4 linked regions of the Alligator mississippiensis genome follow. The main gene of each other region encodes a partner of the protein of the gene in region 2 in a complex. Links are inferred from orthologs where the notes say so. Each region holds a gene or a part of one and is shown on either strand. Other genes may lie near its edges. The genes, in order: POLR2H, RRN3, TAF1C and TAF1A.

What was found.
Region 1: RRN3 (region 2) and POLR2H share a complex: the UniProt entries of both Homo sapiens proteins name them as parts of the pol I pre-initiation complex. The link is inferred for Alligator mississippiensis from reciprocal best matches to the Homo sapiens genes RRN3 and POLR2H.
Region 3: RRN3 (region 2) and TAF1C share a complex: the UniProt entries of both Homo sapiens proteins name them as parts of the pol I pre-initiation complex. The link is inferred for Alligator mississippiensis from reciprocal best matches to the Homo sapiens genes RRN3 and TAF1C.
Region 4: RRN3 (region 2) and TAF1A share a complex: the UniProt entries of both Homo sapiens proteins name them as parts of the pol I pre-initiation complex. The link is inferred for Alligator mississippiensis from reciprocal best matches to the Homo sapiens genes RRN3 and TAF1A.

Annotation. Positions count from the first base shown.
Region 1 is NC_081830.1:83,503,986-83,511,451, forward strand, and holds POLR2H (DNA-directed RNA polymerases I, II, and III subunit RPABC3), read left to right. Parts: upstream 1-4,455; 5' UTR 4,456-4,525; coding exon 4,526-4,598; intron 4,599-4,708; coding exon 4,709-4,792; intron 4,793-4,888; coding exon 4,889-4,982; intron 4,983-5,942; coding exon 5,943-6,026; intron 6,027-6,370; coding exon 6,371-6,488; 3' UTR 6,489-7,028; downstream 7,029-7,466. Other genes in the region: major facilitator superfamily domain-containing protein 8, read right to left, coding at 37-156, 249-311, 623-808, 4,201-4,276. UniProt on the Homo sapiens protein: DNA-dependent RNA polymerase catalyzes the transcription of DNA into RNA using the four ribonucleoside triphosphates as substrates.
Region 2 is NC_081836.1:42,573,601-42,580,468, forward strand, and holds the start of RRN3 (RNA polymerase I-specific transcription initiation factor RRN3), read left to right. Parts: upstream 1-3,852; 5' UTR 3,853-4,008; coding exon 4,009-4,098; intron 4,099-4,468; coding exon 4,469-4,525; intron 4,526-5,639; coding exon 5,640-5,729; intron 5,730-5,815; coding exon 5,816-5,945; intron 5,946-6,265; coding exon 6,266-6,325; intron 6,326-6,868. UniProt on the Homo sapiens protein: Required for efficient transcription initiation by RNA polymerase I (Pol I). Required for the formation of the competent pre-initiation complex (PIC).
Region 3 is NC_081826.1:303,255,584-303,262,814, reverse strand, and holds the start of TAF1C (TATA box-binding protein-associated factor RNA polymerase I subunit C), read left to right. Parts: upstream 1-4,214; 5' UTR 4,215-4,229; coding exon 4,230-4,361; intron 4,362-5,961; coding exon 5,962-6,046; intron 6,047-6,402; coding exon 6,403-6,509; intron 6,510-6,978; coding exon 6,979-7,074; intron 7,075-7,094; exon of another isoform or gene 7,095-7,231. UniProt on the Homo sapiens protein: Component of the transcription factor SL1/TIF-IB complex, which is involved in the assembly of the PIC (pre-initiation complex) during RNA polymerase I-dependent transcription.
Region 4 is NC_081824.1:182,344,646-182,352,072, forward strand, and holds the start of TAF1A (TATA box-binding protein-associated factor RNA polymerase I subunit A), read left to right. Parts: upstream 1-4,415; 5' UTR 4,416-4,661; coding exon 4,662-4,905; intron 4,906-6,475; coding exon 6,476-6,645; intron 6,646-7,427. UniProt on the Homo sapiens protein: Component of the transcription factor SL1/TIF-IB complex, which is involved in the assembly of the PIC (pre-initiation complex) during RNA polymerase I-dependent transcription.

The sequences.
Region 1 (7,466 bases), on a different chromosome or scaffold from region 2:
ACCCTCCACCTGGTCCAGCAAAAAGGAGGCTCTTACCAATCAACAGTCCGACCTGCCGACATGCCATGACCACTGCAAACACCGTAGCGCGCTCTTGCGAGGTGGTGGAGCGAGTGAGGTACCCAAAGATGGAGGCACCTGCTCCTGTCCCGACACCTACGACAGAAATGTGCAGGGCCAGGGGTGAGAGAAATGGCACAGGCACCTAAAGCCCCTAGGATACAGGCCTGGATGCCTCTAGCTCTTACCTGCCACAAGCCGGCTGCCCAGAAGAAGCCATTTGGAGATGCCCATGAAGTACATGAAATTCCCTGAATCGGGGACACAAGAGCAACAGGTAACGCAGAGAGGAAGGTGCAACGAGACAGCCCATGGGGCTGAGGCAGCCGGAGACAGCTCCCCAGAACCAGCAACATGGGGTACGTGTCACAGGATGCATGCGTGACCGCAGGCTGTGGACAACCCCACAGGCCCGTGTGCGGGTCCCACACTGCACCATGGGCCTTCCCACGGGCCACGCAGTTTCAGCCGCTGCATATAAAATGTGGCGCTGCTGTCTTCCCTCAGGGAGGGCTGGAATCTGAACTACAAGGTCCCCCCCAGTCTGCTCTCACGGCCTCACCTGCAATCTCGAACGTGTTGGCGAAGAGGATGATTGCTTTGGTGCGCTGGGTGCGGTCCGACCAGAGCCCGAAGAGGGGCCCTGCCAGCAGGCCAGTGAGGCTGAAGGCAGAAATCCCCAGGCCCAGGAAGTACGGCTCCGCATGGAGAGTCTGCAGGTAGGCCCAGATGGTTGGCAGGATCACCGCTGGCAGGCAAGGAAGACAGACAGACAGTCAGAGACAGCCCCAGGCTGAGTCCTACCAGGACACCCCACACCGATACTGAGCCTGATCCTGGATCATCTCAGCACAACGCCAGGCCACCCAGCTCCTGACCACCACCCCCCAAACTGGCATGGGCTGACCAGTGACAAGGACAGCAAAGGCCATCTGGGTCCCTGAGACTCACCATCTGGGGGTCCCACCCTGCCCACCTCAGCTGATCCAGCCATTGGGGCAGCTGGATGGCTTCTCCTGATGCCTGGCACAGCAAGGCGAAGCATCAGCCATGCAGACAGACCCTCCGCAGCCACAGCGAGCTCTCCTAGTCCTTCCCTCTCCCCCAGGAGACAGCACTGGCTTCCCAGAGACATGGGGACCCCCGCAATGCCCCTGCCTGCTCAGAGCCTCCCCTCTCAGGCTGCACCTGGCTAGTCCATCATATCCTGGCATATCCTGAGGCATTTGGTCAGCAGTAAGAGTAGGAAAGGACAGCACGTTTTGCATAGGACATGCTATTAGAGCAGCCATGGCCAGGTCGCTTCCCCTGCAAAGGCAGCACAGCTAGAAAGCTCCACAAAGCTCTGTACAGCTAGCGGCAGATCCCCCCAGCCTGCCTTGGACTGCCCCCTGCGCTGCCCCACACCCTCCCATTCCTGAAAGCACAGGTTATCTCGACCGGCCAACTCCAGATGTCCCCGGCAGGCAGCCGAGAGGTAGCCCTGCCCCACGGCTCAGGGACTGCTCTCTGATCACCTGCAAGGGAGCTCTGGAGTTTCAGGTCCAGGACCAAGAAAGCAGAAAGGCCCCCAAGTCACCCTGGGCACCAAGAGCAGGGCCAGGGCAGGTCTCTGGTGTCAGGCAGGGAGGCCCCATGGCCAGTTTCTCCCTCCAGGCTCAGCTCGCCCCTGCCTGCTTTCCCCCAAGGGACAGAGGTGCTGCAACACTGTCGCCCGCCCCCGCCTGCTCACCCTTGCCCTACTTCCCTCTGTAACGACGGAGCTGGCTGCTCAAAGAGAGATCTGCCTGGCTCAAAGTCTTTTTGCTGCCCTTGGAGGCCTCCTCTCTACGAGCTGGCAGCGCATGCAGCTCCCCACCCCCTGCTCATTTTGGGAGGACTCAGCACCCTCCCGCCCACGCACCAGGGCTGGCTCTGTGGCCCTATCCAACATAAACCAAGGACTGACTAACCCCTGGGCCTCAGTTTCCCACATTCCCGGAGAACGGGAGAGCAGGGACTGCAAAGCGGTAGCTCAAGGGGGGACAGAGCATGCTTGGATCATGGAGAAAGAAAAGGCAAAGTTGGGACGTGGAAGACATTGGAGATGACCCCATGCCTCGGTGAAAAGGGAAGCTGCTGTAAATTAGTGGGGGGGGAATCTCAGTCCAGACCCTACTGTTCTTAGGCAGGTGACATCCAGGAGAATACAGAAGGGAGACAGACCAAGAAGTGGGGTTCATGGAGATGAGGGGTTCTTGGGGCTCACTCAACAGAGGAAACCCCAAGAGGGCAAGGAGGGTAGAGCGAAGACCTAGAAGGGTCACCAAAGACTAGTGGCAGGAATGGGTTGAGCGGAGAGGTGAGTTTGGACAGGGCCCAGCTGGGCACTGGGCCAGCAGGAGTGGAGCTGACTCATGCTGGAGGAGATCAGGGCTGATGGGAGAAGCTGGGAAGACGAGCGACATTTATGAACACCCCGCAGTGTTCCCAGCTGTGGGACATGAGCCATGGGTTTGGCCCGTATTTTTCCAGTCTGCACCTGGCCTGCGTAACCCCCGGGTACCTGGGACCCTTTTTTGCTTGAATGTCGGCGTGGGTGCCGACGTGATAGCACAAGGGGCACGGCTGGACACAGACCCCAGCCAGCACCTCCCAGCATGCTCTGAGCACAGACAGGCATGCCCAGGGGACGGGCATGGAGACAAGACGCCCAAGTCAGACTCCTGCACCTGCCGCTGAGCTGCAGGGAGAATCCGGCTGAGTCCCTGCCTCTCCCCATTTCCCCACACCTGGGCTCATTAGAGTGGGCCATCGGCTCTTGGAGGCAGGGGCTCATCTTAGTTGTGAGGCCATGCCCCAGACAGCAGCTGTGGAAAGGCAGCCCAACTCTGGGAGGAAGGGGTGAGGGCAACACCCCTGGGAAGCACAGAGGCACAAAGGGAAGTAAAAGGAAGGGTGAGAAACATCCGGGAACACGGAGCACTCCCACAGCTGCAGAGACCGAAGGAAGCGCAAGCTCAGACAAGGCAGAAAGCAGGTGAGAGGGTGCCAAGGCTGGGCCCTGCAGCCTGGGACCGGCACGCTGACTGACGTGCCTCAATCAAACCCTTGCCATGTCAAACACCACCTCCTCGTTAGACGCTCCCTGGCTCCGCTCCCCAGGGCACCAGTGGCTCACGTCACCGGACCGGTCAGCTCAGCTTGAAGCACCCAGCTGCCAAGGAAAGCTGCTTTGCCAGGTGCAGTGCGGTGGGGTGAGGCCCCGTAACAACAGACCTTCTCGCCTGGCTGCCCTCACAAGCCAAATGGCCAATGCCAACTGCGCCTCCCCCCAGCCCGATTCTGCACGGGGAATCGGTTTATGTCGCGAAGCCGCGCAAGTGCCAGCACTTGCCACGTTCTCCCAGGTGGCGAGACAGGCAAGGGCAGGGGAATGACACTCGGCTCCGGCATCCACCCTTGGTCCTTGCTGCATTAACATTGCTGAGCCCTTGGCTGCTCCCAGCAGGGGGATGAACCCAGAGGACCCGAGGGAAGGACAACTTGGCAATCCACCACTTCTCCCGGCACTCAGACCCCAATCCCCGCTGGGTTTGAAGCCTCCTCCTAGAAGGAGGTAGGACTGCAGCGGTCGGGAGCTCCCGGACAGTCAACGCTCCTGCCCTGCTCCCCGCTGGGCTACCAGTTCCCCCAGCACTCGGAGATCCTTGGTGCGAAGAGCAGGAACGGGCTCCTCCCGGGCCTACCCGAGCTGCAGGCTCAGCTTGCACCTTGTAAAATATTAACCGAGGAAACAGCAAAGTCAGCTCCGCTCCCGCAAGGACAGGCCTGCGGGCTGGGCGCAGAACGCCGCAGACCCAGTGACCGCCGTGTCACAAGGGTGAAAACGCAGGAGGAGGAAGAATTATTTCAGGATCCAGGACCCAGCACCTCACGTGACCCGACAAGTCAAACAGTAGGTCTGAGAAGACCCCTTTTGGCCTTAAAAACATCCCTCGCTCCAGTCTGTAGACACCGGGGGGGAGCAGAGAGCCAGCTCGCACCCACCACCAGGGCTGGGGACCGTCCCGCGGGCCGGATCCTGCCCGGCCTCAGTGTGCCCGCCTGCGAAATGGGTCCAAGGGAAGCGGGAGCCGCGGGGCGGGGCCAGGCACTCACCGTACTCGATGCCCCCGGAGAGGAAGAGCAGCGCGATGGCGACGCTGGTCAGCTTCTTCCTCCGCGGGTCGGCCATGCACCCGCCCGGCTCAGCGCCCCATCCCGGGCCCGGCCGCGCGGAGCAGGGAGCCCGGGGTCCAGCCCCGGCACACGCATGCGCACACGGACTGCCAGCATGGAACGCCCTCCCGGAGTGGCCCTTCCGCCCCGAGCCTGCACTTCCGCCCCGCACGGATGAGGCACTTCCGGCGCGCCGGCCGGAAGCGGCAGTAGCAGCGCGTGTCGCCGCGGCGGGCGCCGGGCACGGGGGAGCGCGGCCGCTGCTATGGCCGGGATCTTGTTCGAGGACATTTTCGATGTGAAGGACATCGACCCCGAGGGCAAGAAGTTCGACCGCGGTAAGCAGGGCCGGGACAGCCTCCCCCGCCCCCCCCTTGTTGTGCCCAAGCCACGCCCCCTTCATCCCAGGCCCCGCCCCCCCGGGCCTTGACCCCCGCTCTGCCCGCAGTGTCCCGCCTGCACTGCGAGAGCGAGTCCTTCAAGATGGACCTGATCCTGGACGTCAACATCCAGATCTACCCCGTGGACCTGGGTAGGTGGCGGGGCGGGGCCGGGCGGGCGGGGAAGGGTTCACCCCCCACCCCAGGCCCGCGCGCCCCCGGCCCGGCGCTGACCCCGCGGGTTGCAGGTGACAAGTTCCGCCTGGTCATCGCCAGCACCTTGTACGAGGACGGGACGCTGGACGACGGCGAGTACAACCCCACGGACGACCGGCCCTCCAGGTAGGGGCGCGGGCGCGCCCGTGTCTGCAGCCTGGCTTTGTTTCAACCCCTGCCTTGTGTATTTACGACGCTCCTCCCTGCCGCGTCCGACCGGGTCCCCGCCTGTTCTCGGTCTCCCTCCTCGCCGGGGCTCCGTGTCGAGGGCGCAGATACATCGGTGATGTATCAGATCGGCGGCGATTAACGTTATCGGCGGTTGGCTTTTTTTGGCCGGCATAGCCGATAACGTCACCGACTAAATGCCGCGCGCATGCAAGCAGCCTCAGCCTGCGCTCGGCCAGGAGCGCGGCCCTGCACTGTGGAGAGCAGCGTCTGGCTGGTGAGTCAGTGGGAGGGAAGGGGTGTGGGGGCAGATCGAGGCCCCCGCGGTGAGGGAGGGAGTGGGGCGGGGCAGGTGCTGCACAGCCGGGGCAGTGAATGGGCCCCCCAGGTGAGTTGCAGGGTGGAGCTGTGTCTGGGGAGGAGGCAGCTTCTCTGCTGTGTGTACTCCTGGGAGAGGTAACCTACCCCAGGGGCCCATTCACCACCCTGGCCAGGCAGCACCTGCCCCTTCCCCAGTCCCACGTCCTCCCTCACTGTGGTGGGCCTTGATCTGCCTGCCCATCCCCCACCTCCCCGCCCCCCAGGCTTACAGGCCGGATGCTGCTCTCCAAGTTGCCAGGCTGTATATTGGCTATCAGATTGGTGTTGGCCCATATGGCTGGTTAATAAGTGGCCATCCGTATTAGCCAAAAAAATCCCCTAGCTCCGTGGTGTTGGATGGGAGCCTGTCACCAAATGAAAAAAAGAGGCAGACAGCTTCAGCCTGCAGCGCTGATCAGCTGCATGAGGGTGGAAGGATGACTGGGGGCGTTCAGTGTTAGCTGGCAGGGGTTTAGCCTGGAGGGGGGTTGTGTTGGGCAGGAGGGTTGGGTCCAGGGTCATGCCGATTCCTCCAGCCTTGCTGTCTTGCTCTCACAGGGCTGACCAGTTTGAGTATGTGATGTATGGGAAGGTGTACAGGATTGAGGGAGACGAGACGTCTACGGAGGCTGCCACGCGACTGTAAGTGTCTCCCCTGTGCTGCTTCCCTGTCATTCATTGGGAATTTGGTCCTTCGTGGATGCCAAGGGGTGGGGGGTGGTCCATGTCCTGTCTGGGTGCCAGATTGGCAGCTTGGGGGTAGGAACACCTGATTCTGCTAGCAGTCTGTGCTGAGCTGCCCAGTACGCTGGTCTCGTGTGGGACTGCTTCCCTGAGGGGCTGGCTGGAGTCTGCCCTGGCAGCCAGCTCCCTCAGCCCCGTGATGAGCCAGTGCTGCTGCCTCTTAGCTAGGCTTCTAGAGCTTGGGGCTATGGTCAGCCTCCCCCGAGTTCCTACCCTGCTCTCATCCTTCCCCTCCACCCTAGCTCTGCCTACGTGTCCTATGGAGGGCTGCTCATGCGTCTCCAGGGAGATGCCAACAACCTGCATGGCTTCGAAGTGGACTCCAGGGTGTACCTCCTCATGAAGAAACTGGCCTTCTAAGGGGCGGGAGCTGAGGGTCTGCAGGAGGCAGCAGGGACCCTGCCTGACAGGCTGTCTGGACAGACATGGACTTGCCAGCAACCTCTCTGATCCGTGCCTCAGGAGTTTGGCTCCTTCACCCCTCATCTGCGTGGGCCTGAACCCTGCCATGCATTCCAGTCTGTGCAGCCAGCCCAGAGGCCTGCACTGCTCACATCTCTGCTGGGTTGCCATCCAGGCCAGGAGACTGCTTCTCTGCCGAGCAGGCTGAGACCTCAGCTCATGCCCCAGTCTCTGAAGAACTGCCCTTTGTAGGGGCTGGTCACACGCAGGTGAGCTCCTAGGTCCCTGCCTGCAGGTGCCGGTCATTGGAGGACTTGCCTATGGCACATGCTCTCCTCGGCCAGCTGGGAGGCTACATCCTTGCCCCGTGGCTCCACTGCAGGCTGCAGTACAGCCTATGCCACCCACCTAGGCAGGCCATGTGCTGTATTGGCGAGGAGGGCAGCAGCTCCTGAGCCCATCCCCTCTGGTTCGCTATTAAACTTGTTTTTCAGATTTGTCCTGGCTTTTGCCTCCCACAGAATTCCACAAGGTGTGAAGTAGGTAAGCAATGGGACTGAGCGCATTGGGGAATGATAGCCATGGCCTAATGAAGGACTGAACCCCTGCAAGCCCTGGGCTGGGGACTCTCAGGCCCTGCACTGTTCAGCTCCTGTCCCTGTTGACGTGATCAGCTGTGAAATCATTAGCAGCCCCTCCGTTTTGCCCAGTGCGTTCTCCTTTCCGAGCTCTAGTTCTAGGCTACCTGTGGGCCCTGGCGGGTGCTTCCATGTTGTGTGCACAGGTGGAGACATCACTGCTCTCTCTTCACTATAACAGGCCGGAGGCTCAGTTCTGTCTGAGTGGACTGGAATTGTGCTGTTACCTCCACCAGGGCTTCCCAGTCACAGCAGGAGGGTATCCAAGACACCCACTTCCTGAAAGGATGGGATTTGC
Region 2 (6,868 bases):
ACTAAACATAGACATTGGATTTTTGATACATTATAATCTGCCTGGCAACTGACTCCCCAGCCCAGCCCAGCCCCTGGCCTCTTTACTTTTCATTCCATCCACGAAGAGCACACACCAAGTGCTGACACTTCCTTAGCCTGACGAAGGGTTTTTGAACTTGAAAGCTTGCTTAATAACTATTCTCCAACCATTTGGATTGGTCTAATAAAAGATATCAAATTCACCCAAGGAACCTTGTCTGCCTATTTAAAACTATGTTTTTCAGACAATCTAGCCATAGGGTACAAGCACAAACCGTTGTCATAATTTAAAAGCTGCCTTGTAGTTTAGTTTAGGAAACTGAATCCAGTAAAAATAGTTTTAATAGTCAACACGATATTTTAAAGAGTTTGCAGCAAAGAAAGGTAATCTTCAAAGGAGTTGACTAATTAGGGTCCATAAAAAATGTTTGCCTCATAGTTGACAAAAAATTAATAGCTTCCTTGGTTATTTTGAAATGTAGGACTTTTATAAAGCTTGCATTCTGTAATTTAGTACTGAATAGGCAAGAACCTTTACATTCAAAGATACCCGTTTTCAACTTCTATGCAAGTATTTTAGACATTCTGTGGAGGCACCGAGAAATTGATTCAGAATGACCAATAAGGCTGTAAGTTCAACTATGTTTGACGTCTTCCAGTGAGGTCCCGTGACCTTTGACACCAATGAAGTTGCAGGAAGTGACAATGAAATGGGTCTGGAAATGTGGTTTAAAATCTAAAATAAAAACGATATAAAAGCAAGAATGAAATAATACCAAACACATGACTAAAATAAACACTTTCGCTTCTACTCACTTCTCAGTGAATGAAAGAAGCATAATGCACGTCAACAGATCAAATGTGGAAAAAATATCAGTCAGACCTGGTGCCATGCCCGGGTTGACATGGTTCCTGCAGGACCCGCCTAGGCAGAACTGGGTCGGCACCGACCAGGAAAAGCAGCATGCAGCTGAAGCCGGCTTCCCACGTGCTGCTGGAGACAGGAGGAGGCCGGCCAGGTCTGCGGTGGAGCCATGTGCCGCTCGGGACTGACCGGTGCAGGCTCGTCCCGTCTCGAGTGGCATGTGGCTCCGCCACCGCTTCTCCTGGCTGGTGCAGACCCAGCCAGGCTCCTCCGGTCCCCAGCAGCACATGAGAAGCAGCCCCCTCGGGGCCTCGCGCATGGGCGGCCGGGCCTGGAGAGCCGCAGCACCGGGGGGAAGTCTGGCCAGGGGAGCAGGCACCGCCTTGCTGTGAGGCAGGGCAGGGTAGCGGGGCTGGCTTGGAGCGGGCGGGTGAGGAGGCAGGCATGGGCCAGCAGTGCCACCGGCCGCTGCTTGGCCTCCTGCGTGGGGCAGTCCCGCGGCACTGGTTGCGGCCGCCTGGATGGGCACCGGCTTGTCGGGGCGGGTGGGCGGGCGGGGCCGCTCAGCAGCCGCAGCCTGCACCGCCCCCGGCCAGGGAGGGGTCCAGTCCCTGCAAAGGATGCCCCCGGCCGTGCCATGCTGACCCAGTGCGTGTGGGAAACTTGTCCCTTCCCTAGCCCTTCAGTAGCCATTAGGAAGCTGCTGAGGGGCTGGGGGAGGGACAAGGGGTGGGAACAAAAGTAAACCATGTTTACTTTAGTTTCCTGTCGCGGTACCACGGGCCGCAGAACATGCCTTGGTGGGCTGCATGGCGGCCCGCGGGCTGTATGTTGGACAAGCCTGTGCTAGTGGGACAGGCTCATGACTGAAATCACTTCTTTTATCAGTGTCAGTGTAGTGACATTGCAAACTTTGCCCCACTGCCCTTACAATTCCTTATGTGTGATCCTTCTAGAAGGACCAAAGGTCAAGCTGTTAGGTGTCTTTCTGACAGCTACCCATGGCAGAACGCACAGAATCATGTTTAGAACATGGTTGCTCCCAACCTAATTGCAGAACGATTCCATTTTTCAGTAAAGACAAACCCTAAAACAAAGCGAAGAGAAACCCATGGGAAACACAGTTAAGGAACTCAGTTTGATTCTGTCTACAAGATGCTGTAAAATCAGCAATCAACCATATTGTAACCATTTCCTTGCAATACAGTAGTTCATCCATTCCAGGGGCGGGCACTTATTTCAGGCGGAGGGCCGCTTACTGAGTATTGGCAAGCTACTGAGGGCCGTATGACAGGCAGCTAGGGGCAAATAAATATTAATTTTCTAAATTTTTTAGGGGCCCCGCAGGCAGGATAGAATGGCCTGGCAGGCCGCATCCAGGCCACAGGCCACATTTTGCCCACCCTGATCTGTTCAATCTTTTTAACTTTGCTGCAAATAGTCATTACTTCAACTTGTTCTTTTTATGTGGACATTTATCCACCAGAAAATGAACTGAGAGCGCTAACTTTTGTCAGACCACTTCTAATGACTGCATGTTCTGTACTTTCTTTCAAAACAGACTGCCCTATACCTGCTGAAGTGTAGTAACCAAAGATATAATGGACTGAAGAACAAAGCCTATGGCACAATCTAGCAAATTGCTAGAGCTATTTTAGGTGAATTACCTGGAGAATAAGAGTATTATTTGTTCTTTTGGGTTTAAAGGAAATGAACAGCTAGCTTGCCTCTCCAGCAAGCGTACTCAATGATATTTCATCATAAATAGCGGTGTGTTTTTTAAATACTGAAAGTGGGAAAGGCACCAGAGTCGCATGGCTTTATACTGGTTGCCAGAATGCTGTAGTATGCCTGCCATGCCTACTCCAGGCAGAAGGCAGGGCAGAGAGAAACCTTATAGACTAAGTCAGAGATGCATTCACTTTTGTAATCAACAGCTCACTTTATCAGATGCTACAAAAGGACTGGCAGGGAGCAAGGGTTCATCTAGAAAGTGTGCTGTAAGTACAAAGTGACGCGTAGATCTACCAGACCTACACGTCAAAGAGCTGCTCAGCACAGCTCACAGACCCTGTCATGGACCCGGAGGGACAGCCGTGTGACTTCAGCTCCCTCTGTGCAAAAACGAAGTCTATTTCCTACCCATGGGGACTTTTTACCATCTTGTATCGTCTGTACTGTTCCCAGAGCCTAATGAAGGGACTTTGATCCTGAAAGCTTGCAGAAAAAGGACAATTTTCTTGCGATTTCCCACTTGGTCTAATAAAAAGTCTCATTTTGGAACCAAGAGATCTAGTTTTTGTGTATGTCTTACGTACAACATTATTTTGTTACAACTTATTACCCCTACAGAGGTCATTTCAGGCCATTAGCTGTCCTTACCTATAATGTAGCGTCTGGATTGCCACAAACATGTTTCCTGGTGGATCTCAAATCTTTTCAGTCCTGGCAGGATGTGATTTTGCTCAATAATGGAAACTGCGGTTCTATTATCATGACTTTTTTTTTTTAAATTTAATTTAGGCACAGTAGTTTTGGAGCGTTGTGGTCCGAGATCCCCTTTTCCCTTTGGACGGAAGGTCCCCAAAGCCCCCCCCTGCGGACGGGATGCTTCACATTGCTACCCTGGGCCCCGGGAACCGCCCCGGGCCCGGGCCCGGGCCCAGCTCCCTGGCACTGAGGCTCGGACACGGGGCGGGGGAAGGAGCCGGGCGGTGCAGACCAGGGGGCGAGGGGGTCCCGGACACTTCTGAGGAAAAAACCGGGGGGGGGGGGGAGGGGAGAGGAGGAGAAGACACGTCACCTCCCCCAGCGCCTTGGGCGTGGCCAAGATCCCCGCCCCTAGTCCTCCGAGGGGCAGCGAGAGGGGAAACCAGAACGGCCGCATGGCCAACGTGCCAGCCACCTTAGACTAGTAGTGTGGGCGTGCGTCACTTCCGGGGGGCTCAGTGCTCGTTTCCGGCCCGCAGGCGGAGGCATGGCGGGGCCCGGCCGCGCGGCTGGCGGCGAGGAGCGGGGCGGGCCCGGCGGCCGGGGGCGCTGAGGCGGGAGGGGGTGACGGTGTCTTTACCGCCCCCCCAGCAGTGGGCTGCACGCGAGGCGGCCGGTCTGACCGTTGCGGCCATGGAGGGAGGCGCGTTCCTCGGCTCCCCGCTCAGGAAAACGGTCCGGTTCGGCGGGACCTTGAGGGACGTCCTGCTGAAGCACGAGCAGGTGACGGCGCCTGGGCTTGTCTCGGGGGTGATGAAAAGCTGCTTCTTGCTCCCTCCCCCATCGGCCTCGGTCCCGGGGGTGCTGGTGGGCTGCTTCCTCGGGCTTCTCTGAGGAAACGTAGGGGATGGGTGGGCAGAAGGGAGAAGCACCAGCCAGACTTTAGTAGTAGAGCAGGGGAGAGAGAAGCTGCGACTCTTGCTGCCACTTTATGGCTTTTCTGGCTTTTGCCAGGGGTCTTCCAAGCTGTCCTTAGTAACAGAAGAGGAAGCTTGTGTTTCAGATGGGTTAGGTAGCGGGGCCCGAGCTGTGCTCCGGGATCGCAGGAAACCGAATGTGCCTCTGTTTTCTTTCCCCTTCACACTCACTCTAGGGAGAAACTGCTGACTTTGAGTTGTTAAAGCATCAGCTGTCAGATCCAGATATAAAGGTGAGACATTTTTGCAATGGGGGATTCTGATAGTTGTGGTTGTTTCATGGGAGTACATTTAATTATGAGGCAGAGTGTGGCCATTGTGTTTTAAACATGATTTTAAACCCCCCTCAAATAGATTTCTTGGTGCTTGATCAGGTTTCAGGGAGGGTTTCTTATCTTTCAGATATCTTTGCTCTGTGTTAACTTTGCAGTGACAGAAGTCTTGTCAGTTTCCAGATCAGCTACACCTTTGATCCCTCCTCGCCTCTTTGAGAGCGCTCCACTTGGAGTCAGACCGTTATTACATTTCTTCAGGTGGCAGCTTATGTTCCATTCCTTCCAGACCACAGAGTGTTAGGCTGCGTTTCCATGGCAATTCCCTGATAATTCTAAACTAATCCTTTCAGTTCAGCACCTGCTCCAGACTTGGGAGTGATCCTATTCTACCTATTCCAAGTGTAATCCTGTTGGACCTTGTTCAAGTCTCTGAAGAAGTGTTTACTTGCTTACTTTTGTACATGCCATCATCTTAGTCGTATGACTAAGTTGCAGAAAATCGGTAAGAGACAAGATCTGTCCATTTTTTGCAGTAACTGTTTTGCAGAGGCTTGAGAAGGTTGGAAGAGGATCACAGGTGTGCGCCCACGTCTATTTAAGGAGAATGGTTGGAATAAGATCTGTCAGGCTTTTTTCTTTCGGGCAAAGGACTTTAGGAACAACTAATTGACAGTTGGAGCACAACGTTGCTTCCTTGTAGAGAACGGATAGGTGATACATCCAAGGGTTCCTTGTGCCCAGCGGCTGGGAGGACCAGGACTAGATTTAGGACTACAAGGAGTGTCTAGAGTACTACGTAGTTCCCCTACTTAGCTATTACGTTCAGTGTGATAAATCCACTCATCTTGGATTTTGAAAGAGAACTGTGTTCAGCAACTATGGGTGGATTTGCAATTTCTGCCTTTCTCCACTCTGGTATTGGTGTGCCTTGTGCAGGAGGAAGGGTGCTGGGTGACATTCCTAACATGCTGGTGTAGAAACTGCTTCCCTAATCATAATTCTCATGTTTATTTGGGTTTTAAAGGTTTTTATATTAATGCAATTGCTCTATTTTATTGTCTGCTTATATAAGGATGCCCAGATCATTAACTGGTTGCATGAATTCCGTGCTTCTGTTGTATACTTGACAAAAGATGTGGAGGAGCTGGTCAGCATTTTGTTGGTAAGTAGCCACTCATAATATATAGAAATAAATGTTTAATCTCAAAATGTCTGTATATTTCACATCATTGTTCTAACTGCCTGCAGAAGCTGCCATGGTTGAAAAGAAGCCAGGATGTGGTGGAGGAATATTTAGATTTTCTGGGTAACCTGGTATCAGCACAAAGTATCTATCTTAGACCCTGCCTCCGCATGGTTGTCTCACATTTTGTACCTTGTAAGTTTGTAATTCGTTTTATTCTAAATGGGATAATTCACACTCTTTTTACTAAAATAACTTGGAGTAAGAGAATTTGTATAAGGTCAAATTTTGTAAGAAATTTATAAGAAATTAGCTTAAAACTAGATAACAGCATGTACAATTTTTCTGGCTTCTTGAGTAGAAGAAAACTTCTTTTCTTGTTTTGATGTATTGTAGATATTGTGGGTTTTCACCAGGTAGTTCTGGTGAAAATATTGTTCTGAAGATGCTTTAACTTGTGGCTGTCATCTCTATGCTTTTTATAGTTATGCACTAATAGTTCTCTTTCCTAACAGCTCAAGTAATCGTAAGGGAAGATGGTGTGGATTTTTCAGATTCTGATGATGATGAAGAAAGTGAGTACTCAAGCAGCATGGTTTGCTATTTGTATTGCTTCCTTTATGCAGAACTTTTCATTGCTGCTGTAATGTAATTGTATTGGTACAAAATCTGCATGAACCCATGCATGCTGAAGAGTAGGAGGACCCCATGTACTTGAATGCACATTACTCCTATTGAAATTAAGTGCATCATCACCTGACCTTGGCTACTTCCAAATCCTTTGAGGTGAATGCTTGGGAAATTTGACTTTCTATTCAAAGCTTTAGTGTCATGATATGGAATTACATTTGTTAATTTTATTCGGGTAGATTTGGGTTTTTTTCAGTATCATAAGTCTTTTACTGAATAGTATTGATATAAAGGTTGAAGACAACTTTTAGCAATATTTTAGAATCATAGAATCACAGAAAATTAGGGTTGGAAGGGACCTCAAGAGGTCATCTAGTCCAGCCTCCTGCTCAAATCATCACCATCCCCAATTACATCATTCCAGCCAGGGCTTTGTTGAGCTGGGCCGTAAAACCCTCCAAAGACAGATTCCGCCACCTCTCTAGTTA
Region 3 (7,231 bases), on a different chromosome or scaffold from region 2:
TGGACTGTAAACACTGTGGACGCGGCCGCAGCTGGTTTCCACCCAAAGCTTTCCCGCACTCCACCTGCTGCCAGCATCCCACTTTTACCACCCCGTCCAGAGCTGGCTGTTCCCCTGCCCGGGCCAGGCCCTGACCCTTGACCTCCAGTGGGTGCAATCCCCTTCCCGGGCCCGCTGCGGTATCCGTGCTGCAGTCAGTTCATTGTCCCCCGTGCTGGCAGCCCCACATGTGCCCCCTGCTCCCTGGGCCCCACGCCGCCTTTCTGTCTCCCTTCAGTTGCCCCTAATCAGGGCCCATCTCAGCCACCTGAACCCACCCCTCACACCTGCCAGCCAGCCCAGGGCTGACCCTGCCCTCAGACGCCCCAGCAGTGGCTTCCAGCCGCCCCACACTCCCATGCCACCGTGGGCCTTTGCCACCTGACTCCAGCCTTCAGTGCTGGCAGGAAGGGCCTGTCCTGCCCCACACTGGTTGCAGCAGCCTGCCGCAGACGGCCCCTCTGCCCAGCAGCTCTGCCAGCCCCTCTCTCACAAGCAGGTCCTAGGACCAGAACTGCTCCTGCCTGTCGCTCATTGGCTGGATGAGGGGCCATGCGGAGAGGAGGAGCCATCTTTGCTCCCGCTGTCACCACAAGCAAGGCCTCTGCGGGAAGCCCTTCGGGGACAGACTGGGACTGCTCTGATGCCTGCGGAAAATGCTTGTGGGGAAATGATGAGGATTGCCTCTATGAGCCCCAGATGGGAAAGGCTGTGTCATGGGAAGCAGGTCTCACAAGGCGGTGCAAGGATCCACCATGTCCGGGCCGTGGCAGAGGCCGCCCAGCAGTGCACTGCCTGGCCTGGTGTGTAAGGAAAGGGACATGTCACTGAGCACTGTGGGAGAAGCCCTCAGGGCTGTCACTCTCTGGGCTCTCGGTGAACGCCCCAGAAGGGGGTTAACTGAAAGAGAACAGCCATGAGGATGCCCCTGGCGAGGCACGGGGCATGGTGCAGTGGACGAACATAGCCATGCAATTAGCCCATAAGGCAAAGACCATGTGTATCTGGTGGTCACTTAGGAAGAACAATTCAGGAAGCCCTGGGGCAGAACCTGTTGCCCCCACAGCAAGGCCAGGGACAGGGACAGGGACAGGAGCACCTTGGAACAGCAGAGTGGGCAGCTGAGCACGGAGCTGGGGGCAGAGGCCCCATGGGCACTGTCGGCCCGGGGAGGGTCCTTTCCCTGGGGGTCTTGGGCTGAAGCAGCTTTCAGCTGTGCTGCTGGACCACCTGTGCTGTGAGGCTTGGAGGCCTGTGCATGGGGGTCTGGGGGCAGGGTCTTCTCTGGGTGGGCTGATCGTAGTCTGAGGGTGGCATCTGTGAGTAGGGATGGGCCCTGGGCAAAGGTGTCTGTGGTGGGGCAGCTGAGGGAGAGCAAGGTGGTAGAGGGGGCAGGCTCACGGGTGTGGAGGCTGCTCTGGGAGAGGGTGCACGAGGGGCAGAGCTAAGTGTGGGCAGGGCCTGGGCTGGGCTTTGGGCTGCTCCGTGTTGGCCCAGCCAGGGAGGCGAGGGCCGAACCTGCCCTGGTTTGTTTGATGCCTCTTAGCTGGGCTGCAGCTGGGAGAGATGCTGGATGCTCCCTGGCGCTGAGCGCCCTGCTGCAGGGAGCGCTGGCACGTGTGCAGATGTGGATGCAGCCCCCAGGCTGTGCGCCAGGAGGCCTCCAGGAAGGGGACCGAGAATGAGCTGGGGCCATGCCCCTTGTGTCTATGGCTACAGACACGAGACCCCATCAGTCCTGCTCCACCAGGTGCTGCAGGCCTCGCTCCCACCGGCTCCCCTGCACCCAGCCCAGCACCATGTGCCTGCCTGCGCCACAGCCAGCGACACCCCACGGCATCATCCAGAAGTGACCCATGCGCCTGGGACACTTCACATTCAACAAGGTTTATTTGGTGCCTGGGTGACTCCTGCCTGAGAGGAGCCTCCAGGTGAGAGTGCTGGAGGCAGGGAACTCCTGGGCCCACAGGGGCTGGGGGGAGCCGTGTCCCTGCACCCACAGCTGGACTGGGGCAGTCTCTGCTGCTGAGAGTTGGAGAAGGAGTGTGGCCCCAGGGAGGGTGCCCTGAGGATTTGAGGGAGTGACAGAGAAGGATGATGCTAAGTGCTGCTGAGCACTGGGGAAGGAGTGCTGCCCTGGGGAGGGTCCCCGAGGAGGATCTGGGGGAGCAACAGAGAAGGACAATGCTGCCAGCTGCAGCACAGCACCCAGGTCTGACTGGCCCACAACTGTTGCATGCAGGGACTGGAGCCCTGCAGCTGGGACAGCTCCTGGCACAATTGGGGGGACTGGGAAGTGGGGTTACAGGACCCTGCTGGCCCTTCCAGGCCTCTGGATGTAGGCTGTTCCTCTTACTGGAAGTCCATGGAGGGGTCACTCCTGGTTGCTGTCACTTTCTGTATGACTGTGCTTGGCTGGTAACTTGTTTGTCAGAAACAGTTGCCAGGTTGGAAAGGGAAAGGAAAAAGGGCCTGTTGCCAGGTGTGAGATATCCCTGGCCAGAGTCAAGCTCAGTAACACATGCCTGGGGCTTTTGTATTAAGGATCAGGAAGGGGAGTGCATGTCACTGCTCTGACTGGAACAATCACAACACAATGTTATCTTTGCCCAGCTGGCCGCACTTCCTAAATGTAACATACAATCCAGCCCGCTCCCCTATGTGCCACTAACACTGCATTTTGTTTTGCTTTGATCTTAAGCTTGGTAAGGTAGCCCTGGGCCCCAGCACGTCAGCACCCATTGCTTCTCTTTACTGGGAGAAAACGGTGTGCTACGTTGATGCACCAGGCCCCTGCACCCCTCTTCAGAGCTCTAGACCCCCGCTGTGGACGCCATCCAGGGTGGAAGCAAGGAGCACGTGTGCTAATGCCTGTGCCAGACCACAAGCATCGCCCAGACAGGCTTTGTGGTGAGGGAGAGCTTGCGTGGGACGAGCTTTTGGGCACGTGGCCTTCCTTGGGCTTGGGGAAGCAGCAGGTGAAGCCACAGCCGAAGGCCAGGCCAAACCGCAGGCATGGAAAGCCATTGTCAGGCAGGTTTGGGAACCGTGCAAGAAGTGCAGGGTTTGGGTGACATCTGTGATAGGATCCGCAGATGTCCGTAGTGGCTTGTCCTAGAACCTGAACACGTTGCCGGCAGCATTCGTCACAGCTGGAGGAAGCGGGAGCACCAGGCCTTCACTGAGCCCCACCACAAGCTGCGAGGGTGCGGGGAGGGCAGTGGTCGCTCCCGGGCAAGGGGAGCTCCTGGCTTGGCTGCACCCTGCTGCCGCGTGCGCCGGGGGCGGGAGGCACGGGGTGCAGGGGCCCTGGGCCTGTCTGTGCCCCTCGCAGGTTTTCCCCATGTGTTCTTGGCTCCAATACTGTTCTTGACCTGAAACTCCTCCTCAGCTTCCCGGAGCCTTTCCACACCCCAGCACCCTGGCCCAGCTCCAGGGTACAGGCCGTCCTGCGTGGGGGAGGGCCAGGGCCCACTTCCTGCCGTGCAGGGCACCAACCACTGCCCCCCCAGGGGCTCTTGTCTGGATGAGGGACCTGGAGCAGCTTGCCCTGCCCTGGGATGTAGGGGGGCACCACAGCCGCTGGGGGGGCACCCCCAGCTGCCCCCCAGCCCCCTGGGGAGGCACCCCCAACTGGCCCTGCACCCCCCCCCGGGGGGGCACCCCCAGCCACCCCACGCCCCGGGAAGCACCCCCAGCCACCCCATGCCCCCTCCCCCGAGGGGGCACCCGCAGCCGCCCCATGCCCCCCTGCGGGAGGCACCCGCAGCCACCCCACGCCCCCCGGGATGCACCCGCAGCCGCCCCACACCCCCCCCGCGGGGGCACTCGCAGCCCCCCCCGAGGGGGCACCCGCAGCCACCCCACGCCCCCCCCCGCGGGAGACACCCGCAGCCGCCCTCCCCGAGGGGGCACCCGCAGCCGCCCCACACCCCCCCCGTGGGAGACACCCACAGCCGCCCCACGCCCCTCCCCCCCCCGAGAGGGCAGCCCGGCCCGGCCCCCTGGGAGCTAAAGCGCACGCCGGCTCCGACGCTGCCGTCCGCCAGGGGGCGCTGCCGCGCCGCACTTCCGAGCCCCTTCCGCGCGGCGCGGCGCTCTGGCCGGGCGCTCTATGGGCGGCGGGCGTTGATTGGTCGGCGGCCGCTCGGGGGCTACATTGTAGCGGCGGGGCGGGCGCACGTGGCGCGATGCAGTTCCCGGCGCCGCTGTTCCCGGGGCCGCACCGCGCCGGGCCCCCCAGCCGCGAGCCGCCCTGCCCCGCGCTGCTCGGCTGGGGCGGGCGCGGACCGGTGCTGGGGGCTGGCGCGGAGCCGCGGCAGGTGAGTGTCCGTCCGGCCCCGCCAGCCCCGAGCCTGCCCCGGGGGAGGCCCCGCAAACCCCGGCCCGGCCCGGGCCCGGGCCCGGGCGCGCCAGTGCAGACCAGTCCGACCGGAGGAAATCTTTCCTGCCCAGCGGGGCGGGGGCAGGGCCGCCCCCACCTGCACGCAGCGCCCCGGTGGCAGGGAAGCCCCGACGCGGGACCGGCAGGAGGGCAGTTCCCTTCCCGGCAGCCTGGCCTCCGGCGGAGCCCGGGGCGGCCGCATCCCTGCTCTGCCCTGCACCCTGGGCCCCGCCCGGCTCGCGACCCCTTCCTCTTGTCCCTTCTGCTCTTGCGTGTCCCAGCCGCTCTGCACTGCAGGGTTCTCGCCTTTGCCATTGTCCCCCTCCTCTTCCTTCTTCCCCTGTGGTTTCCTCGCTTCTGCCCGTGTACCTTCTCACTGACCTCCTGTCACACGTTCAGCTTCTTTCCTTCCTTGGAGGTCTCCCAACAGCAGCGACTCCCTGTGCCCAAAGACGCGTGCTTGTGCCCGAAAGCTTGCAGAGAGCTCGTTTTCCTAGCTACTCAGTTGATGTAATAAAAGATAACACATTACCCAAAAAAGCTTGCCCGCCAGCTCCTCCAGTGTCCCTTCCTCTCCTGTCTGGCTGTGAGCGTCGCTTCGTTCTCCTGCTGAGCACAGCCCCGCAGGGAGTGCGCGCCCCCTGCCCTGGGCTGCAGCCCTCGGCCCACGGTGTCCCAGCAACTCGTGTGGCGGCCCCGTTGGCTCTTGTGCCCCCCAGCGCTGTGGGCATTGCTGTTCCCAGCTCGCTCGCGACCAGTGGCTGCCCAACCCCTGCGAGGGCACCTCCAGTGCTGGAGCAGCCGCAGCCTCCCTGGGCACCTGTTCCCCCGCTCCGACTAGGAAGAAGTTTTCTCTGAGATCCAGTCTAAATTTACTTTGCTGCAATTTCAAGCCAAGAGAGAAGCTGCTTTCCCTCTCCTGCGAGGCAGCTCTTCAGGTGTTTGCAGGCTGCTCTCGTGTCCCCTCTGAAGCAGCTTTTATGCAAGCTGAACATGCCCAGCTCCTTCTGCCTCTCTTAGGACTTGCCTTCCAAGCCCTTGAGCATTGCTTCTGCCCCTCTCTCACTTCTCCACTTCCCTTTTAAAATGTGGAGCCCAGCACTGCAGCCGTTATCCAGAGGAGGCCTGACCAGGGCCGAGCAGAGAAGCACCATCACCTCCTGTGTCTTGCACCTAATACGCGTGACAGCCCAAATCACAGTGCTCTTTTGTGCAGCTGCACCATGCTGCAGGCTCATATCGAGTCTGATCTATCGAGTTCCCCCCCACAATCCTCCTTGGCACTGCCGTCCAGCCAGGAGTCACCCAGTTTGTCACTGTGCTTGTGATGATTCCTCCCGAGGGGCAGCCCCTTGGACCGTTAGCGTTAACCTTAAGTGGGGAGGGAGTGCAGGCCCAGTGGAGGGCCCTGACCCAGTTGGGGAGTGGAGCTGCAGCCCCGGGCAGCGTGATGGGCTGGGGACAGCTGGGGACCAGGGTAGAGGTGCCCCCTGCAGTGGGCAGGGAGCTGTGCTGATCCATCTGTCCTGCCCTTACAGGGGTTCGTGCCGCTTCGCAGCGAGAAAGGCGAGAACTGGGAACCTGCTGATGCCGTTGCGGTGCCACTTCTGCCTCCTAACGCTGGTGAGAGCTCAGATCCTGCCTCGACCCCCAGGCCAGCAGAGCCAGAGATTGCCAGAGCACAAGGCCCTGACTGGCAGGGTCCTCCTGGCCTTCATCCCCTCCAGCAGCAGGAACTAGCTCCTGACCTGTGGGCTCCCCTGGGCAGTCCATCCCCGGGTACTGCCAGGGCCTGGGGGGTGCACGTGCCCATCCCTCTGCCCACAATTGCTGGAGGTTCCTTGAGCAGCGCTACATGGCTCCCTCCCCTCCCTGTGCCCGGGGGCTTGCACTGCACTGACAGCCTGGCCTGGTGTCCCGTCCCCTGTCGTGTCCTCTGTCCGTGTCCTTCTCTCTCCCCCCCCACTTCTGACCTGCAGGCTTCAGGGTCCTGGCCGTGACCCCCCATGACATCCTCTATCCGGGGCGGGTTCGGAGGAAGCTCCAGGCAGGCAGGACTGAAGCTGCCCTTGACTTCACCAGGCAGGTGAGTCCTTGCAGGCTGGCTGCTGTACCCAGCACCTCCGGTAGCCCACCACATGGCCCATGCCCTGGCAGGGGGGTCTTTGGGAAAGCAGCAAGTCTCAGCGCTCCTGTGGGCCCAGCCCAAAAGCCCCAGGCCTGGCTGGGCAGAGGGCCACTGAGCTCACTGCCCTCCTTGGGGAAAGGCGCTGGGGTGGAAGGGGAGCAGGGCTGCCCTGGGCAGGAGAGGGTGTCAGAGGATCCAAGCAGACCCACGCACCCACGTGGGGATCCAGGATGGCCATGCTCTGCCCACCAGGCTCTGCGCAGTGTCTCCCTGCAACGAGGTTTGGGAGGAGGGGGCAGGGGGCTTCAGCTGGGGCTGAGGCCACGAAGACACTACATGTGCCCAGCTGCCTGCTTGGGTTGCCCCGGACTCCCGTGTGCTAGCCAGACCCTGCTTGGGCCCCCTGACCCTGTGCCCCTCCCTGCAGCTGGCACACTTCTTCCTGGACCACCCTGAGGACGCGTTTGGGGCCATGGGCCAGCTACTGCAGGAGAATTTCCATCTGGGGGAGGCACGGCTGCGGGTGAGTGATGGTCCCTGCCCATCCCCAGGGACAGCTGCCCGCCTGGCTTGGGCCAGGGGGTAGGGGCAGCCCCCATCTTGCTGCCCCTGCTTCCCTGAGCCCCTGGCTCCTAGACCCCTGGCAGCCTGCTCTCCCCAGCTGTGACTAACCAGAACCC
Region 4 (7,427 bases), on a different chromosome or scaffold from region 2:
AAGAAGGCCAAACACAACTGGAGTTGCAGCTAGCCAGGGCCATGAAGGGTAACAAGGGTTTCTACAAGTATGTTAGCAACAAGAGGAAGGTCAGGGAAAGTGTGGGTCCCTTAGTGAATGGGGGAGGCAACCTAGGGACAGATGAGGAAAAGGCTGAAGTACTCAGTGCCTTTTTACCTTGGTCTTCACAGGCCAGGTCAGCTCCCAGACTACTGCACCAGGCAGCACAGTTTGGACAGAAGGTGAGCAGCCCTCAATGGTGAAAGAACAAGCTAGGGGCTGTTTAGCAAAGCTGGACGTGTACAAGTCTATAGGGCTGGATGCAATGCATCCGCGGGTGCTGAGGGAGCTGGCCGATGTGATTGCAGAGACACTGGCCATTATCTTTGAAAACTCGTGACGAGTGGGGGAGGTCCCAGACAATTGGAAAAGGGCAAATATACTGCCCATCTTTAAGAAAGGGAAGAAGGAGGATCCAGGGAACTACAGACCAGTCATCCTCACCTCAGGCCCTGGGAAAATCATGGAGCAGGTCCTCAAAGAATCCATGTCTAAGCACTTGAAGAAGAAGGTGATTAGGAACAGAAAGCACAGATTCACCAAAGGCAAGTCAGACCAACCCGATTGCCTTCTGTGATGAGATAATTGGTTCTGTGGATGCAGAGAAAGCTGGGGATGTAATATATCTTGACTTTAGCAAGGCTTTTGATACTGTCTCCCACAGCATTCTTGAAAGCAAGCTGAGGAAGTATGGGTTGAATGGACTGTAAGGTGGATAGAAAGCTAGCTGGATTGTCGGGTTCAACGAGTAGTAATCAATGGCTTAGTATCAAGTGGAGTGCCCTAACTCCCTGGCGCTAAGTTTGTTTGATATCTTCATCAACAATCTGAAAGATGGGATGGATTGCACCCTCAGCAAGTTTGCAGATGACACCAAGCTGGGGGGGTGTAGTAGATAAATTGGAGGGTAGGGCTAGGATTCAGGGTGACCTAGACCAGCGGTTCCCAACCTTGGGCCACGACCCAAATGAGGGTTGTGGGGCCAATGCCGGCAGCGCTGCACACAAAGGACAAGCCATGTCATGTGCTGGGAGCTCCATCACCCTGCCCTTGGGCTGCTGCCGCCACTGCACTCCACTACAGCTGCGGGTCATGGCAAACAAAAGTTGGGAACCACGGACCTAGAGAAATTGGAGGATTGAGCCAAAATTAATCTCATGAGGTTCAAAATAAGGACAAGTACAAAGTCCTGCACTTAGGACAGAAGAATCCCATGCACTGCTACAGCCTGGGGACAGTGGCTAAGCAGCAGCTTTGCAGAAAAGGACCAGGGGTTATAGTGGACACGAACTATAGTGGACACTAACTATGAGTCAGCAGCGTGCCCTTGTTGCCCAGAAGGCTAACAGCATACAGGTTTCCCTCGCTTTATGTTGGTTCTGTATGTGCAAATTCGCTCTTACGTGATGATCCTTTTTATACCAAAATTTGTTATACGCAAGGTAAATTCACTCTTATGCGATCGGTGTGGTGGAAGCCCACAGTCAGCTGCTTTGTGCAGTGTGTTGTGGGAGTGACATGCACCAAAATATCTATGCTCCTTGCTCATTGTCTGCACCCTGTGTTTCTGTAGTTGCCATCCTCATTATGGTAACATTCACTATCACCCTGTGGTTGTATATACTGTCTGCTGTTGGCGAGTACCAAAATTGTCTTGTAAAAGTAGTAGAAATGGGTCTGGAGGTCAGTATAATTGAGGTCTTGGAAAGTATCCTTATTTATTATATTGTAAAGTGGGTTCATTTTATGCAAATTTGAGTTATGCACCCTTTTCCAGGAACGTACGTATAGCATAAAGCGAGGGAAACCTGTACTGGGCTGCATTAGTAAAAGCATTGCCAGCAGATCGAGGGAAGCGATTCTTTTCCTCTAGTCAGCACTGGTGAGGTCACATCTGAAATACCATGTTGTTTTCAGCCCCCCACTATAGAAAGGATGTGGACAAGTTGGAGAGCGTCCAGCAGATAACAATGAAAGTGGTTTGGGGGCTGGGGCACATGACTTCTGAGGAGAGGTTGAGGGAACTAGATTTATTTAGTCTTCAAAAGAGAAGACTGAGGGGGGATTTGATAGCAGCCTTTTACTACCTCAGGGGTGGTTCCAAAGAGGATGAAGCTAGACTGTTCTGTTGGCAGATGACAGAACAAGGAGCAATGGTCTCAAGTTGCAGCATGGGAAATTTGGGTTTGATATCAGGAAAAACTCTGTCGCTGGGAGGGTGGTGAAGCACTTGAACAAATGACCTAGAGAGGTTGTGGAATCTCCATCCTTGGAGGTTTTTCAGCTCTGGCTTAACAAAGCCCTGGCTGGAACGATCTAACTGGGGACGGTCCTGCTTTGAGGACTAGGGGCTGGAGTAGATGACTTCCCGAGGTCCCTTCCAACCAAAATTTCCTATTATGGAAACCACCTACTGTACCCTGAATGTTGGCTAATGACTCAGGTCAAAGGGGATAACAGGTGAGTCCCTATTCTGTTCCTTACATGTGTCCGCAGACCATCTTCCTGCTGCTCCTCCTTGACTATTCATATTTGCACAGTGGCCCTCTCAGTGTACAACATCCTTGTTCTACTCCTCACACAGATCCAGAAACCATCTATCATTTCCACACCTCATGCACAAACCCCACCCAACTCCTCCCACACCCAGACCCTCACCATTTCAGTCCTAGACAAGACCACCAAAACTGCCTCTCATTTCAATCCACTTCTTTCCTTGCCTCTCCTCCATTCAGCTCCATTCCAAACACGAGCAAGTGTATCGCAGAGATGTTGATGCTCTTTGGCTAGTCCCCTCTGCTGTGTATTGCAGTAACAGAACAAGTTACTGCCTTTTCAATCTATTATCACATTCTAAAAAACAAAACAAAACAAAAAAACATGGATCCTTCAAGGGTCAAAGCTACCTTTGTAAAAATTGCTTTTTTTACTCAAAAACTACAAGACAGCTTTAAAAAAAAATCTTCCTGCTATACCATTCCTTTAGATTCCTACACTCCTGACCTGTGGCCTCCAAACATATTCACACATCATTTTGCAAGTACCCTTAGTCAATTTTATTCTCTTCTTTCAAAAGTAATTCTGACCTATGCAAGTCAGGTAGAGAGGACCAGGAAAAAAGCAGGTAAGACAAGACCTAGTGAGAGAAGTAGAAACAGGTGAGAGAAGTAAGAGGCAAGAATTGTTATAGGTGACAGCTTTTACTGGATCAAGCTGCATGTCTGCCATGCATCTATGGCCCTGATTTTGTAAATACTTATGCATTTACTCAACACATGCCTCCAAAGTAGCTGGCAGCACTATTCACAGGTGTAGGGTTGCCAACTCTGAATCTATTCCAAGAGGTTTCCGGAATGCCAACATGCTGGCAACACAACACGGATGTGCCTACCTGCTTCCATGTATCAGTTACATAGACTTCATGTCAGGAAGGCAAATGCAAATTACTATTACATTTTAAAAACTGGACTACCATGTAAATCGGATTCAACATTTAATATTTATTTTAATGAATGCCCTGTCATTTATCTCCTGGGGGGCTTCCAGTAGCCTCCTGGAGATTTATATCTAATCCCTGGAGACTCCAGGGCACTCCTAGAGGGTTGGCAACCCTACATAGGTCCAAAGTCTATAAGCATGCATGTATTTTCACAGTGGGGGACTTACTTCCCCTGTACTGTGCTCTTAGCTATTCAGCTCCAAGCTGCTGCTGTATGTTGACTACTCGACATTTCACTGGTCTTTATATTATTGATGAGCAGTATTTAGGAACCATCACTGTGATGTTAATAGCATTATTATTATTGCTATAATACTAATCATTATTGCTATAATAATTAGGACCACAAGTATATTACTATTAAGCATATGATCACTTACTATTGACTAATACGATTTATTTCCTTATTATGGCTAATAAGAATAATATTAATATCAATCACATTAATATCAATATAATTCATATGAATAACAACCACAATAATAATGACGATTAGAACGACAATAACAGTAATGGTATATATTATTATATACAATAGTACTTGTTATATTAATATAATATGAATTATAAGCATGCTACAATAATTATATTATTATTATATCAATAATAATAATAATAATAATTGCTATCTCCTCGGTGTGCAGACCAGATCAGACCGAGCCTCGGCCTTGGAGCCCGCGGCACAAGCCGACCCATAGCTGCAGCTGGGGGCGCAGGATCGGGTTCCAGGGGTGGGAGGATGGTATGACCGGAAACCCGCGCCTGCGCACTGAGAGTCACCTCAGCTCTCGCAGGGAACAAGCAGCGAGACCAGGGTCCGGTCACATGACCGGATTGGCTCCACGACACGCCCCTGCCACAACGCTAGATGCCGACTTCTGAGAAAACAGTGCATGAGCACCTCGCGTCTCTTCCCCGGCTGCACTATCCCTCTGGCGAGGTCGAAGGTCATTCTGAAGGTGGCTCCGAGGCACTGCTGAAGAAAGCTTTGCTTCCTTTTTTTCAGAGCTAACTGACTTTGCTCTTGATAACGGTAAAGCCACTTGATGTCGGTGCCCGGATTAATTTAAAGACGTAGTTGGTAAATAAGGGCGTGGGTCACATGATAGGTACTTTGAGGTCTCTCGCCAGGAACAAACATGGTCTCCCGCTTCTAGTGGGCCAGTCGCGTCCTGTGGGACCGCGCCACTTCCGGCCGGGCGGGGTGCGGGACTGGTTCATTCTCCTCCTCCCCGCTGCCGAGGGCATGGACGGCTTCGTGGAGCAGCCGGCCCCGAGGGAGGAGTGGGGCAGCCTGGCCCCGAGCATCCACCTGCCCCTGCTCCCGTGCTTGCTCCATCACCCAGGTAAGTGGTACTGAATGGGTTGGGCCCAAAGGTACAAACCAGCCCTGCCTCATGGTGCTCCTTGATTTGGCACATGCCTGCACACACATGTACAGGTATATATACACATGGACCTGCACGTGTGTGGACCCGCAGGTGTGTGCACCAGGGTTTGAATTACAAGGGAGCTTGGGGGGCTGAGACCCCCCCCCCCCTCCCCATAACAGGCAAGAGCCCCCTGTAAAATTTGAAAATCATAATCTGGGGAAGGGAGCGGGGGATCATAACCTAGGGATTTTATTAGGGCATCATGATGGGCAGCCCAGGTTTTTTTTGCAGAGGCGATGTCCAGGCACTCACTAGCACACCTCCCCCCCCCCCCCCCATGCTTTTTCAGGTCCAGGGGAATCAGAGTGGGGGCGCAGCCCTGCATGGGCAGATTTGCCCCAGTCAGCTCTGCTCGGGTCAGCTCTGTGTGCAGCACACGTTGTCTGGACATTGCTGCGTGCATGGAGCTGGTCTGGCATGCATTGCATGTGGCACCTCTGCTGCTCTGGATCCAAAACACTGGGCTGGTCCAACATGCGTACTGCATTCAGCGCTCATCTCGGACTGGCCCTGCGCACCAGACTGGCTCCACACATGAACATGGGGCTGGTTCAAGACCTAGGAACTTGATAGAGCTGGCGCTAGCACATGCTGGGGACCCCCTCCTCCCCTAGTCAGCAGTCGGCTGCTGGTGCCTCCCTAGTATCGGGAGGCACCAGTCACCCATGAAGTTGGTGTACACTGCACAGAGCTGGTCTGGGGGATGTGTTGGCTCTGGCACATGAGGCTGGTCTGTTATTTCAAAGCAGATGAAAACACAGTCTTTGAATACAACTATAGACCACAATACACTGTGGTTATGCAGTTCATGTGGGAAATCTGTCCTGTTTAGCCGTGGTCCTTTAATAGTTTCATATGTAGTGCTCATAGTGTAGGAGGAGGAACAAACTCTACTACGTGGGTCTATCAGTTTTGCGCTTCCTCATCAGAAAACATTGGTGCATTCAGGAGGCACACCATTCAGACTTTAACTGCCACAGGTTCTATATGGGCTGCAGCAACAACGATTCAGTTTGGGCAGGGGCCTAACCAGCCTCTTGGAGCCCTTGCGTAGGGAAGCTGCAAGTTTTCTTCGAGCTTAGTCATAGTATAGGAACAAATTCTCCCCATCTCTGCTTCAGTTTACAATCTGCTTAAATAAGAGTTTTTAATTTGTTTGTACCAGCTACTTGCATTTTCAGTTCTTTAGGTGAGCACTGCTTCTTAACACAGTTATACTTAGCTGAAAGAAGTTCTCTTGGTTGAGGTTTCTAGGTGATCATAGTACAATATCTTGCAATGTAGACCTTAAATAAGAGAGGAGATGGGCTCAGAGGAGAAATCCACTGTGTTTTAGGAAATATTTGAAGTTGCATTTTGAAGCATGGTTTCTGTCTTTTTCATCTCCTTTGGCAGAGTTTGCCCTGGACAAAGCTAAAGGTAGTAAAGTGATAGTTACATTGTTACCCTCTCTTATTTGTTAATCCTATTTTTTTTTTTTTAGTAACTAGGGGTCCAAAGGAAACAGAATTTCAGAAAACAAAGGAAGCTTGTTTAAACTACATTCAAGATGCCCTGTTGCAGAACCAGTGGCAGAGGGCTGCAGAGTTCATGATTAGCTACTTGGAGATATTGGAAACAAGTACAGTGAGTAAACGGAAAACTGCTCCAGAGGTAAGATAAAAAGAGGCTGTTACCAGAATTCACTTGCTGTTGATGGAAATAATTTAAAAGGGCATTTGAAGTAGTTCATGATCCATACTTATGTCTTATTTGTTAAAAAGAAACCTCAAAGCTTTACAAGAACATGTGTGCATTAGAGAGGTTTTGGGGTTTAGGTTGTAGCTGTGTTGGTCTAAGGACATAGGCAGACAAGGTTCCTTGGGTGAATTTGATATCTTTTATTAGACCAATCCAAATGGTTGGAGAATAGTTATTAAGCAAGCTTTCGGGTTCAAAAACCCTTCGTCAGGCTAAGGAAGCTTCAGCAGTTGGTGTGTGCTCTTTTGATTACTCTCTAGGTATCCATACCAACCAATACATTTGGAAAACAAACCTCTAGCATATAAAACAGTAGAGATATAGAACAAAGTTTAGCAGTTCAGTACAACTCATGCATGTCCCTGGCAGAGGGGGCACAAAACTGCACCCTGCATATAAGCAACCACAGTTCTGTTGCACAAGTATCGGGTAGCAGACCACACAAAACTAGACCCTGTAGTTGCTAGCAGTTAAGGGGTTTTATTCAGGTAATGTGGAGCAGCTTGGGAGCAGGGGAGTTGTCTAATGTAGCAGCAGCCTTTTAAGGCTTTGGTCTGGATTGGCCCAGTTGGAGTCAGAGGCAGGCAGGTGGATGAGTGGCTACTAGGACCCAACCAGCACTGGCACTGTTCCCTGTGGCAGCAGAGAGGAGGTGCCTCTCCAGTGTCTGCAGGCATTGTCCAGACTGGGGATTA